Schizosaccharomyces pombe: one gene and its partners. The protein of the gene in region 3 interacts with the protein of the main gene of each other region in a pairwise test. Each region holds a gene or a part of one and is shown on either strand. Other genes may lie near its edges.

What was found.
Region 1: the proteins of sad1 (region 3) and man1 interact in a two-hybrid assay, tested with the Schizosaccharomyces pombe proteins (4 studies listed by BioGRID).
Region 2: the proteins of sad1 (region 3) and kms1 interact in binary tests that used the Schizosaccharomyces pombe proteins (3 or more experiments, as listed by UniProt).

The regions. Positions count from the first base shown.
Region 1 is NC_003424.3:5,234,629-5,240,306, forward strand, and holds man1 (LEM domain-containing protein Man1), read right to left. Parts: upstream 3,751-5,678; 5' UTR 3,691-3,750; coding exon 1,156-3,690; 3' UTR 528-1,155; downstream 1-527. Other genes in the region: SPOM_SPAC14C4.04 (uncharacterized protein), read left to right, coding at 1-468; poly(A)-binding protein Nab2, read right to left, coding at 4,177-4,419, 4,466-4,564, 4,608-5,189. UniProt on the Schizosaccharomyces pombe protein: Required for correct meiotic chromosome segregation.
Region 2 is NC_003424.3:3,461,256-3,465,954, forward strand, and holds kms1 (protein Kms1), read left to right. Parts: upstream 1-1,642; 5' UTR 1,643-1,809; coding exon 1,810-1,872; exon of another isoform or gene 1,873-2,003; coding exon 2,004-2,443; exon of another isoform or gene 2,444-2,489; coding exon 2,490-3,810; 3' UTR 3,811-4,053; downstream 4,054-4,699. Other genes in the region: sei1 (seipin), read right to left, coding at 4,054-4,189, 4,287-4,699. UniProt on the Schizosaccharomyces pombe protein: Has a role in karyogamy, recombination and segregation during meiosis. Although it has been shown to associate with the spindle pole body it is unlikely to be involved in its formation or maintenance.
Region 3 is NC_003423.3:2,301,747-2,307,193, reverse strand, and holds sad1 (protein Sad1), read right to left. Parts: upstream 3,429-5,447; 5' UTR 3,013-3,428; coding exon 1,468-3,012; 3' UTR 1,437-1,467; coding exon of another isoform or gene 954-1,436; 3' UTR 533-953; downstream 1-532. Other genes in the region: DNA polymerase delta subunit Cdm1, read left to right, coding at 954-1,436.

The sequences.
Region 1 (5,678 bases), on a different chromosome or scaffold from region 3:
TTTTTAAGTCCTTCAAATATGTCTGATATGAGCTTTACCTTTGAAAACTTTGACTTGGTTTATGTGCCAGGAGGGCAGGATCCCGCTGTTTTAGAACTTGTAGAGTCTCCTCGTCTCAGTTCATTGTTAGCTGACTATATACCTTTATGTGCCCGTGTTAGTGGCACCCGCGTTTTAGCAACAATGGCTCAAGGAGCAATCGCTGTTCAGCGGGCTGCTCCCAATCTTGAGATTAAATCGACTACGACTCCACTTTATATGGAAAGAGCGTCTTATTTATTTGGCGCATCTAATCCTCCGGCTTATACTTATACTTATATTCCTGAATCGAAATACGTACCAGGGCCCAAAACTGCTCACTGGGTTTATTCGGACGAAAAGTTTTTCTATGCTTCCGGTCGTTACTCTGGCGATGTTGAACTACTTTGTAAAGCTTTACGAAATCTCGTAGCAAGTGCATTGCATTAATCTTTCTTATTTGTCTTTACTATTTTATCTTATACTAAACGTGTTAATTATTTCTTTGTTGAGTTTCCCAGATTCTATTTTAATTTCATATTCTATAAATTTCATATTTCTGCGTATTTAGAGTTATATTGCAATAAAGATAATTCAATTTGCGAGTTTGGCTTTTGTTTGATTTGGAGCATTTTATGGCCCTTGTTTATCGTTCATTTTTAGTCCTAGAACTCTAAAAGTGTATTAGACCTGTTTTAGACTGTACCGTTCAATACCGTCGAGGCATTGAATTTTTACAAACATGCCAGAACCCTTCAAAATAAGAACTGTCACATGGAACTCTTTATTTTCATTGAGGCCGGATGCCAAATGCTAATTTGAAATGCTCTTTTAGACAGCTAATGCAAACGGTTCGGGTCTAAATTTGATATTCTTTTTTTAATTAGAAAAACCAATGTTAAATTAATGAAATTTTCGAATCTGTTGATTAAATTTTTCGATAGTGTTTCAATCTATAAGCTCCTGTGCTTAACAAAGTGCAATAACTAAAAAATAATTATATTAACGTGAGGAAAATAATGTTGACATAATAGTACCTACTGATGCTGCACTCGTATCTAGATTCATAAATCATCATGCCAAACGACATTCATAAAGTTTGACCTTAAGGTCATTTTTTATATATCTAACCGTATTTTATAAGGCAATGTCATCTGAAAAAACCCCGATCCATTCCCAAGCACGATTTTTTGCCAAGCGCTCACTGTCCCATACCTTTACGCTTACCATTCCTTCAAGGACTGAAACCACCTTTTCCCATATTTCTAATTGAATTGACAAAGGGAGATGTACAAGTTCAAAAAGGCCCTTGTCATCTGCGACTCCAGATACAAAACAGTCAGAACGTAGCTGCACGACTTCTACACGAGGATTGACAGAAAAATCTGTCAAGGACTTTAGCTTGGTTTTTTGTAGCTTAGCAATACAATGTGAAACGCATACGGAGACTCCATGCTTTACTACATGCTTCTTGGCATAGACTCTTATTCGCCATACAACGGTACCGGTAATAGCTGCCAATATACCAATCAACAAGTAAATTCGCCAACAGGATATAACTGCTGAAGTCAAATACTTCATTAAGGAAACTGTATGAGAGTAGACAGATCGCAAACAATTAGTCGGAAATTTACTCAATGCCCCACGTACTCGGAGCTTCCATAGCTCAAGAGTAAATAGTGGAGAAAATAAGTAATATAGTACTTTTCTTGTCAGCTTTGAATTATATAGACGGTTTAAAGTAGTCTTCAGATATACTTTAAAATCTTTAAGTCCGACTACATTATCGATGTCCTGCTTATACATGTAATATCGATCCTTAAAATTGTCAACAAATGATTTTCCGTTTAAATTCTTTGCACTTTCAAAAGTGGCAAATTCTTTAGGGGCTTTATAGTACCACTTTCCGATAATAGACATAAATGCCTGCACCATCTCTTCAACCTTATTAACCTTCACGGTATTCGGAATACATCGTGGGTATGGTTTTAAGCCGAAATCTGCAAGTAAAGGAAACGAAGCCTTTAATCCTTCTTTGCAAAATAACTGACGATTGAAACCACATTCAGCGTTCTCAGGACAAGGTTGACAAGAGGCTTCAATTCCTAAAGAGTGAGCAAATGAATATGCAGACTCAATAGAGGAACGTAAAACTCCTGGTTGGAGATAATATAGACTAGAAGGATAAGGTTCGGCAGGAACTCCACAGAAGCCAACGCGCTGTACTTCTTGATGCCAAAAGCCTACAAATCCCAAGAGAGGTACGACAAGCAATACAAGCCATAAGGAATTTACCACTTTGGTAAAAGAGAAAATTAAAGAAATGAATGAACCAAGACTAAAGTATGGCCTTTTAGGTTGCCTATCCTTAGTCAAGGAAATATTTTCCTCCACGCGATCAATACCCGTAGTACTAAGACCGAGATCAGAAGAAATCTCATTAACCGAATCATCGTCGGGTTTTTGGGAATCAAATTTTTTCTTCTCTGGCGTCGATGTATTAGATGCTTCTAACCCAAAATTTGTAGAAAACGCAGGGTTGACAGGACGATGAATTGATGCATTTGCTTCGTACAGCTGATTTAGGTGTTCTACAAAAATTGAGGAAGATTGAGATTGAGGAAGGGGTGATGATGAATTCTTTTTGGGATGAGTCCATGAAAAACTGTTATTTTCTGGAGTGAAGTTCTCCGAATTACCAGTAGACAAGCCAACCAAATTGTTGAGTTGGTCAAATGACTTGTTTGATTTGAGATAAGAGTCGGAACTTTGTTGAAAATTTTTTCTGACTGAAAGAAGGTTACTTGGATTACATTCAAGCGAATTCAACGACGACTTGATAGGAGAAGCGTAAACGCTTGACGAACGGGAGGTAAACTTAGGCTTTAGGTTTTCGCCTAAGAAACTGAGAAAAGAACTTTGGTTCAATGGATTTTCGCTTTTTGGAGACGTCGTGTTCAATACCTTTACTGGCGTTGGATCACCCGACACGGAGGCATTAACAAGATAGCTTTGATCATAGTCTAAAAACTTTGAAGCAGGTGTTACGATATTACCAACTTCTGCAGAAAAATCGTAAGTAGCGGTGTCTACAGAAGAATCCTTGTTTGTTAAATTCTGGACAATTGAAAAAGACGATTCCATTGAGTTGTCGAGGTTTACAACTGCCGCATTAAGCTCAGTTTGCGTCTCAAATGGTATATGTGTTATTTCTTCGTTTCGCGAATCTATTTTGGCAATCTTTGAGGCATGAAATTCAGATTCTTCTGAAATGGTTATCGTGTTAGTATTCAAAACTTGAACGTTCTCGTCCTGTAACATCCCCATCACATTATCTTCAAATTGTGAAGTTTTAGAAATTTCTGTATCATTAGCCTCGTCAACCATATTTATTTTTCTCTTAGAGCTAATTCGAGCAGTAACATTATTCGTAACCCCTGCCACCCTTCTACGAGGACTACGAGAAGACGGAGGAACGTTCTTTTGCTGCAATTCTGTCATAGAGATCAAGCCATTTTTTGCCCTTCGTAGTTTACTGAAAAGCGTGATTAACTGCGCTTTCTTCGCCGTTGACGGATAGTATATTTGATATTCAGTTAATATATTACGCAAATCTACTACTCGAAGAGACGAAGGATCATAATCGGGGTCAAAATAAGAAGGGACCTCCATTCAATTAAAAAAAACCTTTTAACTAAAGGGTATGTGTATAGACGTAAAACTGGCGAATGTAAATACCAAGTGATTGTTGTCAACAACATGGTGTAAGCCAAGTAACCAACAAGTAACATAAGATGTATTTAGTAATGAATGTCAACAAACGTGGGTATTTGAATATGTATAATATTAACTTAACCGAAGAAGTAAATAAATCATTATTTGCATAATTCACATCAAAATAAAATTTTCATTCACTAAAAAGACATCAATATAACGAAAACAAATTTTTTAAATCAATTTAGCGACTTGATAATTGCCGATTGCAGCAAACGTAGCGACAAATAAAACTTTATCGTTTTAGCAATCTATACAATAAAATAAATATCAAGTTTGCAAACTCTAGAAGGTATGTTCTTAAACGAAGTATCCTGGCTTGACTATCAAAAGTAGATATGTGCCAATTATACGAACACGAAATAGTATCATAATTCTCTAAATTTACACAGAAGGAACATGAAGTTGTTCTTCTGACTCGTTAACAGCAAACGAACGTTCACTCAGGGACGTCTCTTCTGTTTTAGAGGGTGGCCGCCATGTCATATTTCTGCTTTTCGTCGGGTGGATAAAACGACAAGCTGGATTCAAACACGGTTTATATTTACAAGGAATTGGAATGGTTGACATGGACATGAAAGGTGGTAATGTAGTAACCGTAGCTGGAGATGGATGTCCCTTGACACACTGTATACGTTAGTAATAGTTAGATTTAAATTATTATGGTACTTACATCAGCAGCTTTGCATTCTTTACCAGAAGCACACATTTCACTGCTCAGGACCATACCTTCTCCTGGGGCTGCGGCTGGTGTCGGATGAGCAAATATACACTAAAGAGTTAGTTTTAACAAATTATCTGATATTAATACATACGTTAGCACGGGAGCACTTATCGGCATATTTGCACAAAGGGACCTCTTGGGTTTGAGTGAGAGCACGCTTGGCAGCAGGCATAACGGATTTCGAGTAGTTAAACGAAGCTGCCATGGGATTGAATCGCTGTTTCTGAGATGTAAGTTTGAGCTTTTGTCCGACACGCCCAGTAGGTAGCTCCTTCTCTTCACGTAACGAAGTTATATTAGGAGTTTGAGAAGATTGAGGTTGTATGCTAGTTTCCGGCACAGAGAAAGATTGCTGCGACTTGTCAGTTGACTCCTTCTCGATAAAATCGATTTCGTCGATCTTGCTGACTGACTCAACTGAAGCATTTTTTGATTTTTCAAGCTCTTCAATTTGATTAAATAACCAAAGTGAGAAGCTAGTATCAAAATCGGACCCTATTAAATCAACTAGTTCTTCATTAATTTCAGTTTGTGTTTTTCCATTGCTAAGCATCACAAGAACAAAATCGGCCAGAGAAGCAGCCTCTTCTCCCCACCCATATTCAGAAAGTTTTTTTTCAATCGAATCATGAAGTTTTTCACTATATCCAGGTGTTTCCAGTAATGTAGTCATGTTGTTGGTTTACAGTCAATAATTAACTAAAATAAGCCAAAATAATAGAGATGCTCAAATTTACAATAAATGTACTCCGAGAATTAGTAAATCAATTCCACTCCTGTTATGGAATCAGAATTTAATAAGTTATGTACCGGTATATGCTCTAAAATGAAATCAAATAGCTCAACTTAGCATGAAATAAAGGAATTGAGAAGAAAGAATACAATCACAAAAATATGTTCACAGACAAGAAGTTGGCAAATTTGCCGTTCCAAAAGAAATAAACTTCCTATAGATGATGCGTTCGGAGAGCTTCAATGGAATACGTAGACTAAAGGTAATTTCTAGTAGCAATAGTTATATTGATACTGCAAGCCGTAAGTTAAAATACAGCAAGAGCCTCAGTTCAAACGTAAGTGGAATATAAGAAATATCTTTCACAGTAAGAACAGAAAGAATTAATAAATAGCATAAAATAGCGAGTTTGCTAATTTTTTTTCGAAT
Region 2 (4,699 bases), on a different chromosome or scaffold from region 3:
GGGCAGGACTAAGGAGGAGGAAGTAAGCAAAAAGACAAAAAAAAGCAAAGATAAAAAAAAGCCTTACCATTTCTTTGCTTGAAAATCTGTTCCAATGTGCTAGGAACACCTAATTGATAACAGGCAACCAAGGCAAGCAAAACGAAAAACTGAATTTGCCGTAAGGGTTGATTGCTTGATGATTCAATCAAGGTAAAGAACTCTTTCATTACATCTTGAGGAACATGAAATATATCAGAATAACTTTCTTCTTCTGGAAATAAGAGAACATTGTTTGCTTGAAACACGTCCCAATAATTTCGATATTGCAAAGGAATGGATGAATTACCTATAGACAAAAAAAAGAAAAAGAAAAAGGTTAGCATCATTACAGTAAGTAAGTAAAAAAGCAAGAAAGATGAAAAAAAAAAAAATCAAGCTAAAGAAACAAATCAATGATAGAATGCATCGATCCGTAAAATTAACTATTAATTGAGAAGGAAAAAACAGAAGAACAAAACTTTTACTAACCAATTGCTGTTTTATAATTTAAAGGCTTCACTGGTGAACCCCAATTACTGCTAGATGCCCATGGATCAGGCTCTAAAAATACATTATCGCCCATAAATGGAAACCCCGATGTTCTCTATCTTTTCGATGATCACTTCGTACAAAAGAGAAAGAAAACAAAGAAGATTTAATAAAATTTGAAAGCTAAGAGAGGTCCAATTGAAAATGTACAAATAATGCTGCTAGCAAAGAATTCTAAGCTGACAAACGAATTTTTCAAATCTTCACGAAAGTAAATGAATTTTCTTGTCTCTTGCACCAGTTAAAAATAAAATGATACGAGAAATAACTAAACTAGCGTACAGAGGTTTCAAAATATGTAAATGGCAGAAACCAGGTTTTACACGCTCAAACACATATACATATGGACAGTGTTAATTTCGCCAAAAAACCTTTGACGTCACATCGCTCGCTTCTCATAAAGTAACATGCTAACCAACTGTTTTGACTGAGTAGTAGCTATATAGAAAATGTAAATAGAAGACGTTTTCGAAAGAGTTGGCTAAATTGAAAGAAAAAGAAGTAATTTCTGTATTTATTGCACATTCTTGGATGAAAAAATCTGACCTTTTCTATGCATTTCTTTTTTTACGATCAAAACCTTGTATTTTTTAAAAAGTACAATATATACGACGTTGATTGACTAAAACGATTCAAGGATCAAAATATAAGTTAAGTAATCAACCAATCTTATTTGGAGTCTATGAAAGATTCTTGGGCGATCGTTGTTTGACCCGCAATTATAAATGCTGGCGTTCTAAATTACTGCAAATTCGCTTGAAGTTCTCAGAGGAATCGATCGATCTATAAAACAAATACGAATAGTTTCTACTTCACTAAAAATAATTTTTTTTTTTTTTTTTTTTAATTTGCGATTTCATTTGAATTATCACTTAAGTATGCACAGTACGACCAAGTTGTGGCCTTACTTTTCTAGCTGCTCTTAAATCAAGCATAAACATGATTTCTTCTAACATCTTTTTATCTATTTTCAAGTTTTATTTTAATCCGTCTTTTTCTGTGTACTTCTTTTTGGTCTCTCAAACCACTTGCTCAACAGCCCTACTGCCAAACCCTTGGATAGACCTTGCACGAAACCCAACTCACAACACTTAAGAAATGCGGTGAATTCGTGAACTGTTATGAAATGCACGCAGCTTTATGATAAATTCTAACAAAAAAATTCAAAACTGAATCCCATTCCCACTAGAATTGTGGTTCGTTTCCTGTATAATTATAATTGCCAGTTCCCTTTCCAAAATGCTAAATGAACGCGATTTTGACTTGATTTTCGATTCATATGACTTTAAACATGAAGGAAAAGTATGAAAAAAATTGATTGCTTATGCAGGTAGATCTTGTTTATTGAGTCAGAGACAAACTCTCAAGACTCTGGTTTTTCTCGCTTTACCCAATTACCAATAGGATAAACTATTAACAAAAAATTTTCTTAGGTTCATCTTTCCAACTTTTTGCCAATCATCAATGACCTACAACTCTTACATCCCGCTTCTGCACCACCTCTTTTGAGCGAATTCCAAAAACAATGTACACTCGAATTCGTACGGCAAAATGCAGATCTCTCTATTACAAAGGATAATTTTCGAGACGTATATAAAAAACTTACTGAAAACGAAGATGACTCTTTTGCGAATCAAGCTGAAAAGCCTTCGATGGAGCAACAGAATTCCAAAAATTCTATCAAAGAGGATGCAAATGAACACTCTGTCAATTCTGCACATTCAAAATCATCTTCTAATGCCTCTCCTGAATCCTTAAACCCTTCTCAAATGATGTCTAAGAGACTGTCCTTGCCGCCGATGTCTCAATTTACCGACAGTGATTTTGTCAATATTCTTCGAACTCCATTTGCCCAATCTACACCACTAAATAGGTAAGAATTTTTTTTTTAGAAAAGTCATTAAAATTCTAACAAGAAGAAATACGTCGTCCAGAAATACTGAGATGCCACTTGTTAGGAAGGATAAACCTGATTTTTCCAACGGGCACCATGATCTAATCAAGCAAATCACAGAACTCCAGGATATGTTAGATAAAGCTCGAGATCAAGCTAGAAAGAAATCTCGTACTGTAGATATTTTAGAAGGAAAAGTGAATGAACTTACCCACCAACTAAATATGGCAGATTCCAAATATAATGAATCTAAGGTAGCCAATAATTCGCAAAATAACCAAATTAAGACTCTTAAGGCTCAAAATCTAAACATTCACAAAAACTTTCAGAAAATTCAGTCAGAACTCATACAGACAAACTCTGGCCTCTACTCCACAAAAAAAGAGCTTTCAGCCTTGCAAGTTCGGTATGCCACTCTCTTGCGTAAGTTTACAGATCAGACTAAGAAAATTGAGGAATTAAGCTTGGCTGCATCTCGGTCAAGTGAAAATGAGAATACTATTCGTCGGCTTGCTTTAGAGAACCATGAATTAAAAAATTCTAATAATCAGCTAAACAACCACATAGATGATCTTACTAGAGAAAAACATTTAATTGCTTTGTCTAATAACCCAAAAGGAGATGAATTTTTATCACCCTCTAACCTTGACGAAATGGTTTACTCCAAAGAGGTTGGCCTTTCTTTCACTCAACCATCAGTTTGCATTTCTATTCCTGCGGTTGGAATGCGGGAAAGTGAAGAATTAAGAGAATTGGAATTTAAATGTAAACAACAAAAGAAAACGATAGAAGAATGCAAACACATAAGTCAATCATTGCAAAGCTCTCTTACTGCTGAAAGTTCGCGAAACAAAGAATTGGTTGCTGGATTTTTGATGCTTTCAGAGGAAATTGGTATCCAAAAATGGATTATTCAAAGCCTTTCCAAAATGTCTCCAACCCTAAACGACTTTTGTCGTCGGTACGATTCCTCTATGCCAACATATGAAGAATCAAGCCACGAATGCACAGTTCTTTCGAGCTTTAGTGACGATGAAACAGGACTCATGGCAACTAATACAACAATGAATAACTCCTCTAAAGATTTTATGGCGTCTCAAGATACTGTTAATGCAGACAACCCCCATTTTCTAGCAACGAAAGGACAACCTTTGCTTCTTTTATCGGTTATGAAATCCAACATTTTGCGACTTTTTTACGTCCTTTTTCTTTTTGCCTGTTTTTACGGACTTGATTACATATTGTGCGCCGAGCTATTGCAAGCTTTTTTGCGTGTTGTATTTACATTTTGCGAACATATAATTATACTCCTTTATGGACGGTATGAACTGGTACAGCCTTCTTGATAATTAGGCGACTAATAAATAATGACGAAAATGAAGATGCTAGCGAAAGATTTTTTTTTTCTAAAAAAAAAATCAGTGCTGATTTAAATTGCTTTACCCTTTTTCAACTTTTTGTACATAAAGGTGCAGCTGAATAATGGGTCTAACGGATAAAGCAATAATGGAACTTTCTAATTTAATAATAATGTATTTTTATGGTTGTGACGATTATGATTTTAGATGCAAGTGAAGATGTGAGAAGATTCAACGTCTTGTTGCTTTTGTTTCAGATGTGGAAGAGACAATAAGATAGGTAATTATCGTTGAGGTTATCCCCGTAAACCAAAATAAAGATGTGAAAACGAGAAATGCGGAAACCTTATGCGTATACATGAACCAGCTAGTAAGGACAAGTTAGTTTGTGAAAAAGTATAACAGGTAAAGAAATTGAGTAAAGTAAAAAAAATGAAGAAGGTAAATCAAAAAGTAAAACTTACCGCATGCCGTGCAATTTTGATGCAAAAGCTAGAGTCGCTTCGTAAAATTCAATATCTTTAGAATAAATTTTGACAATAGCTTGAGCTGGAGTATTTTTGACAGAAAATCTAACGGAAAGTGTTGTAATTGAATTAAAACTTTTAGCAAATGTTTCAGATTCGAACAAACGGACATTGACAATATCTGTTTCTTCCAAAATCCCCATGAAGTAAAGAGGTGAACATACAATTAGCTTAAGGTATTCGTGAATAGGAGACCTATGAGGAAGCAAGACTGTTCGTTTAACCTGCTTCAGAGATCTTTGATTTCTATCTTGAAAATCGACAGAAACCATAAAATTGCCCATAGCACTATTTCGAGGAGAATGCGGCATTTTGATTTGAAGCAAAGATGTGCCAGGTAACCTAGGATC
Region 3 (5,447 bases):
TGTCTTTCACGTTTGAAAGCATTATGTAAATTTATCGACTGCATTAAAAAATATAACAATTTGGTTGACTACACTGTATTTAATGATAGTGCAGTTTAATCATTGAGAAAGCCCGGTCAGTTTGTTTACCACTGTATAACTAACAGTTTAAAAGCCCTTAAAAAAAGACAACTTAATGAAACTAGATACTTAAATTACTAAAAGCTGTAAGGGAATTGAAGTTTCAACTGTCTTTGTGCTTCAATTGCAGTGTAAAAAGTTACGCTGTTTTAGCAAAGCACAAAAGACAAATTTTGCAATACTCAAAGCTATTTAACTATAAATTTTTTAAATTTTGAAAATGTTAATAAGTATATCTATTTGCATTTACGAAATTGCCTATTTTAAATCGGTAAAGACCAAAACCCTTTTTAGAAACGTATTAAAGATATGTTAGGAAGGCTGGCAAGTGATTCAATTGCATGACCAAGGCTGGATTAAGACAACACGTATTGCTAAAATACTTGTATCTAATTATGAAATTTCCACAATACTATCTGAACTAATAACGAGTATTGTTTACTTCTTGTTTGCTCCAACAACGAACTAGAAATACCGAAATAGGGGTCGTCAAGAAGTTTCTATTTTAATAATTATCAATAATGCACTTAAATACTTGGACCTAAATGAATAATAATATATATGAAGGCTGATATATGTATAACGATAAAGAACGAGCGGATGGCTGGATACTTATTTTCTCGTCAGCGTGACGCATTTTAAACATCGCTATAGTAGTCATCTAAAGTTATATATACATATTAAAAGTACACTTGCAACCAAATGTACTTTTTCAGAGATTTCTTTTGGCCAAACAAACTAATGCTCTAAATTGAGTAAACACGAAAAAGAATTGGATTTATAGTGCACCTTTCATTCTAGTACCGCAGTGTTACAGAATTATATCACGCAGTATGAAGAAGCGCACTACTCAAGCGAAAAAATCAGGGCAAAACACTAATATTCGCGACGTGTTTCCACATGTAGTTCGAAGTAATTCAAGTCAATCCCACATAGGGAAGAAAGTGAGTTCTGAACAGTCGCCTACACCCGATGTTACAATTACAACCAAAACCTTGGATGAGAGAATTAAAGAAGACGATGAGCTTTCAAAAGAGGTAGAAGAGGCTTGGAATCAAATTATGGCTGAAAGGATTAGTGAACCAATACATTGTGAAAATATAACCAAAGTAGAGTTCATTTTGCATCACTTTGACACTACGGCAAGATATGGACCATATCTTGGTATGACAAGGATGCAACGCTGGAAACGTGCAAAAAACTTCAATTTAAATCCTCCAGAAACAGTGGGAAAGATATTGATGCTCGAGGAAGCAGATGAGGAAAATCGAAAAAGAGAATCGCTCTTTTATGATCTTCAAACCATTCCAGGCTAGATTATTTTTATATCTTACATTTTGTAGGTCTTTAAGATGAATCTTGACCCGTATTCTCTGCAGTACTTTCGGCTTTCTCACCTAAAGAAGGTATTGGTTGTTCGTCTGCATTGGGTACAGTCCCATGAACTCGAACTTGATACAAGCATGTGTAATTGGGATTTCCCCAGTTGCTTTTTATTTTTAAGATCACATTCTGTATCGGTTCAGCGACAATATAATTGGAGGATTCAAACGAAAAAGTTTGAATAGAGTCTTCCGTTAAAGAATATCTCGCCTTTCCCAACAATACAAACATCTTGCTGGACATTCCCTGAACCCACAACTCAAAGTCCTTGGGAGCGCTAGAAAGATCATGAGCAATCTTGTGCTGAACGTGCTCTATTGTGACATTGGTTACATATACAGGGCGTGATAGGGAAATTCCTAATTGTCCCTCTGAACCTTGAAAGCTCCAACACATCGCAACTGCGTTGTTGGGAGTTAATGCTATGCTAGGTTCGTGTCCTCTAACAACGAGCGAATCAAAGAAATAGGAGGTAAATCGTGGTATGAATGCAGATGGTCGTCTCACATAGCGTTTTGAGGTTAAGGCAGGTAGTACTTCCGCTCCTGTTGAGAGCAATGCAAAATTCGGCATGGAAACCGGATCGGTCAAGTATTTTCGAACCGTAGATTCGATGAAGAACTTCCAATCGTCATTTAGTTCAACTTCAAATGGGACCGATGATTTGTAATTAGACATCTCCTCCTTTAGCGACTGTTTTAATTGCTCTACTTTTTGTTGTAAAATCTTGTCAAATTCCTTTTTTGTAATTAAATCTCCCGTCGAATAATCGAATTCCTCATTGCCGCCAACTTTAGAAGGTGAATCTGTGAAGTCTTTAATAATATCTGGCTTTAAACTTGTTTTGGTGTCATTGGATGCAGGAGGAATGTTTGGTACGGGCGAATTAGATGGTTGGGAATTATCTGATGAAAATGATCTTGAGTAAAATTCTTGACCCTTGTGAAGTAGAGTAATTATTAGGAGAGTCGAAAAGAGAGTGATACCGAACCAAAGTAATGGTTTAAATTTTGAGGAATAAAATTGAGATTTCCTTGTAGATCTTTGATTCATCGGGTACCTAAAACTGGCATTTGTTGCGGTGGTATCCTCGTTCAAGCTATACCCTTCATCATCACTTTCCTCGTCGATGCTGTTTTCGTATTCTTCATTGACAAACTCTTCATCATCTCCATCTGATTCATAGAATACATTCGTCGAAGCTTCGTGTCCATTTTTCACTACGTTTTCAAATTCTTCGTTATCAGATTCCTCTTGCTCGTATCGAATATTAGAGTGGTAAGCCTGTTCGAAATTGGGAGCTGGAAATCTTTGTTTAGGAGTAATTGATTCAATGGACACCCTGGTAGGAGGGGACCTTATCTTTGTATAGCGAAGTTTATGCATTTTGGAGGCCAAATCAGCCGTATTTTGATGAATCTGAGCAGAGTTCGCTCCTAACGTCGACCAAGCTGGATGAGCGCCATTTTGACGCTCTCTTTTCCCTCCAACCGGTGTATTAGTAAACATTGATGTATAAAAGGCTATTTGAAAATTAAAAGAAAAATATACAAACGAATCAGTGATAAATAAATATGTAAAAAGAGAGACAAAAATTGAAAAGAGAGTATTGGAAGGCGAGAATTTGAATTAGTGTTCGTATTCAAAAAAGTGAAGCTTAAGTAGGATTCTGTAATTGAATGCCTTTTTGATCGCTTTATGCGAATGTATAAATTATTAATAACAGACGAATTATCGTTGACGCCTTTTTTATGTGAAAACAGATACCTATACACACAATGTATGTAATTGATCCTACCCTAGCAGAGTATACCTTTCTTGAGGTATCATTCCAATTCCAATACTGGAAAATTCCTTCACAAACAATAAAGGATACAATACCAAGATAAACACACTAGAAATGGACGGTACGAAGATTGACTGCTGAGAAAGAGTTTTGTTGTGTTTACGGTAAGTGTATACACTAAGAATTTACTACGTTATATATCGCTGACAATCGATAAATATTCATAACATAATATATGGAAATAAAGCGAGAAATATTTGATGAATAAAAATGGTAGACTGTTAATACAAGAGGGTTTGAACGCTGATGAATTAAGTACTTGAAGCTGATAGGATCCAAATCCAGCAATTCGCGTGTTTATATAAAAAACAGGTTTGGTAATTTAGGAGTTTTCGTGAGAGCATGGCAAAACTGTTCAGTGAAGTGAGAAGTTTGATGGATTCAAGTAATAAAGCAGCCTTATAAAATAGCAAGTTCCATACCTATTAATATTTTTACCACTATTAATATTACTTCGTTTGCATTTAGATTTCCAATTTTTAAAGAAAAAGAACAAGAAACCGATCATATGCTACCAAATTTATTTGAAAAATCAAAAGTATTCAGTATCGTTTCACTTTTAATCAGTTAAGTAAACAGATTTGGCATTTTGCTGTAGTAGTAGTTCAACGACTTCAATTTCTAGGCATTGAAAAAACGTTTTTGCGTTTGTTAGGGATACATTTCATCGACACGAGAATCTACGCCAATGATTTTCAAAAGCAAATTTCAACAATGATCAATTGAGTAAATAAACATTTAATAAACCTTTAATAAACCTTTCTACTGTTTAATACAACATTGCCGCTGAATATTATACTTTATAGTTCGTCAAAGTAGGATTTTCGCTTTTCATCATATAGCCAATGAAATTCGGGCATTCAGTCGCTTTCAAATTGCTTGAATATTGTGCCGATTGCGAAGGTAGCAGCAATACGCAACCATAAATTGTCTAACTAACTGCTTGTTTTTGCATACTTAGGATCCCATTTTACTGCGACACTGATACGGTCCTGTCAAAAAAAAATGAAACGAAAAATTTTCATGTTTTGAGCTTATTCATCGCTTGGTTTCACTACATTCAACAGAAACTGCACAATGTTGTATATAAGGAATCAAAGACAAGCTATGCGTAACTTTGAAAACGTCAGTATTTCAACAAGGACGAAATTTATGGCACGTTTAACTTCCAATTAGCCCGTATTGTTTTTTTGGCTAGCGAAAGTAATGAATTGAGGCAATGTCGAGTAGTATTGCACAACCTAGTATTTGATCCTGTGCGCTACATAATGAATCCTAATAAATAAAACCTCAATAATCAATCTGCTCAACCAACCGTCAAAAAAGGTTCAATCATTTCAATTACTCAACGTGGCGCCAAGTATGTCTCATGATTGTGTATTCATCTCACGACTTCATTTCATTTCTGTACCTTATACACTCACTCAGCTACTTCAGGACTAGGTGTTGCGACACAAACGAGAAACCATGCGCTGGACATCATTCATGGGCCGAAACCGATGTTAGCTTATTGAGCAACCCTAAAATCCGGGAAAACTTGTGATCCATCAAAGTAGATAGAGCTGACAATGTGGAATAACTCATATGAAAATTCAGACATTGTTTGCCGTTTACGATATCTCTCGCTATGTGGAATTGATCCGTTCGGTAAGTAAAGCAGTGCAACGTGAATAGCAAATTATCACCTGTGGGTGGTGAGTAAATAAACAAACGCCTAAGAATGAAAAAAATTTTTGCAGGTGGTTCAAGTCAGGATGCTATAATGCAACATCTTGTGAATCAACGTCGCATATCGTAATGGCTACAGCAAGGAAATCCCGGAGGAGATAGTTTTATTAACCAACGTGTCGGACCGCAATATTAACGCCGAAGAGCAGTTGTATGAGTATGTTCCTAAACGGTAATAGTAAAATTACTTTATTCACCGATTTGTAACAAAGCACACTAGTTATGGTAGGTTCACGAGCCGCTATTAGGTTACAAGCTACTGTCAGGTTAGAGCCATTGTAAGGTTATAAGTTACAGTTGGGTTAGAGCTTGTTGTAAGGTTAAAACCAGTGAACCATAGTGTAGTAAGAGATGTTAATATGTTAGAGCC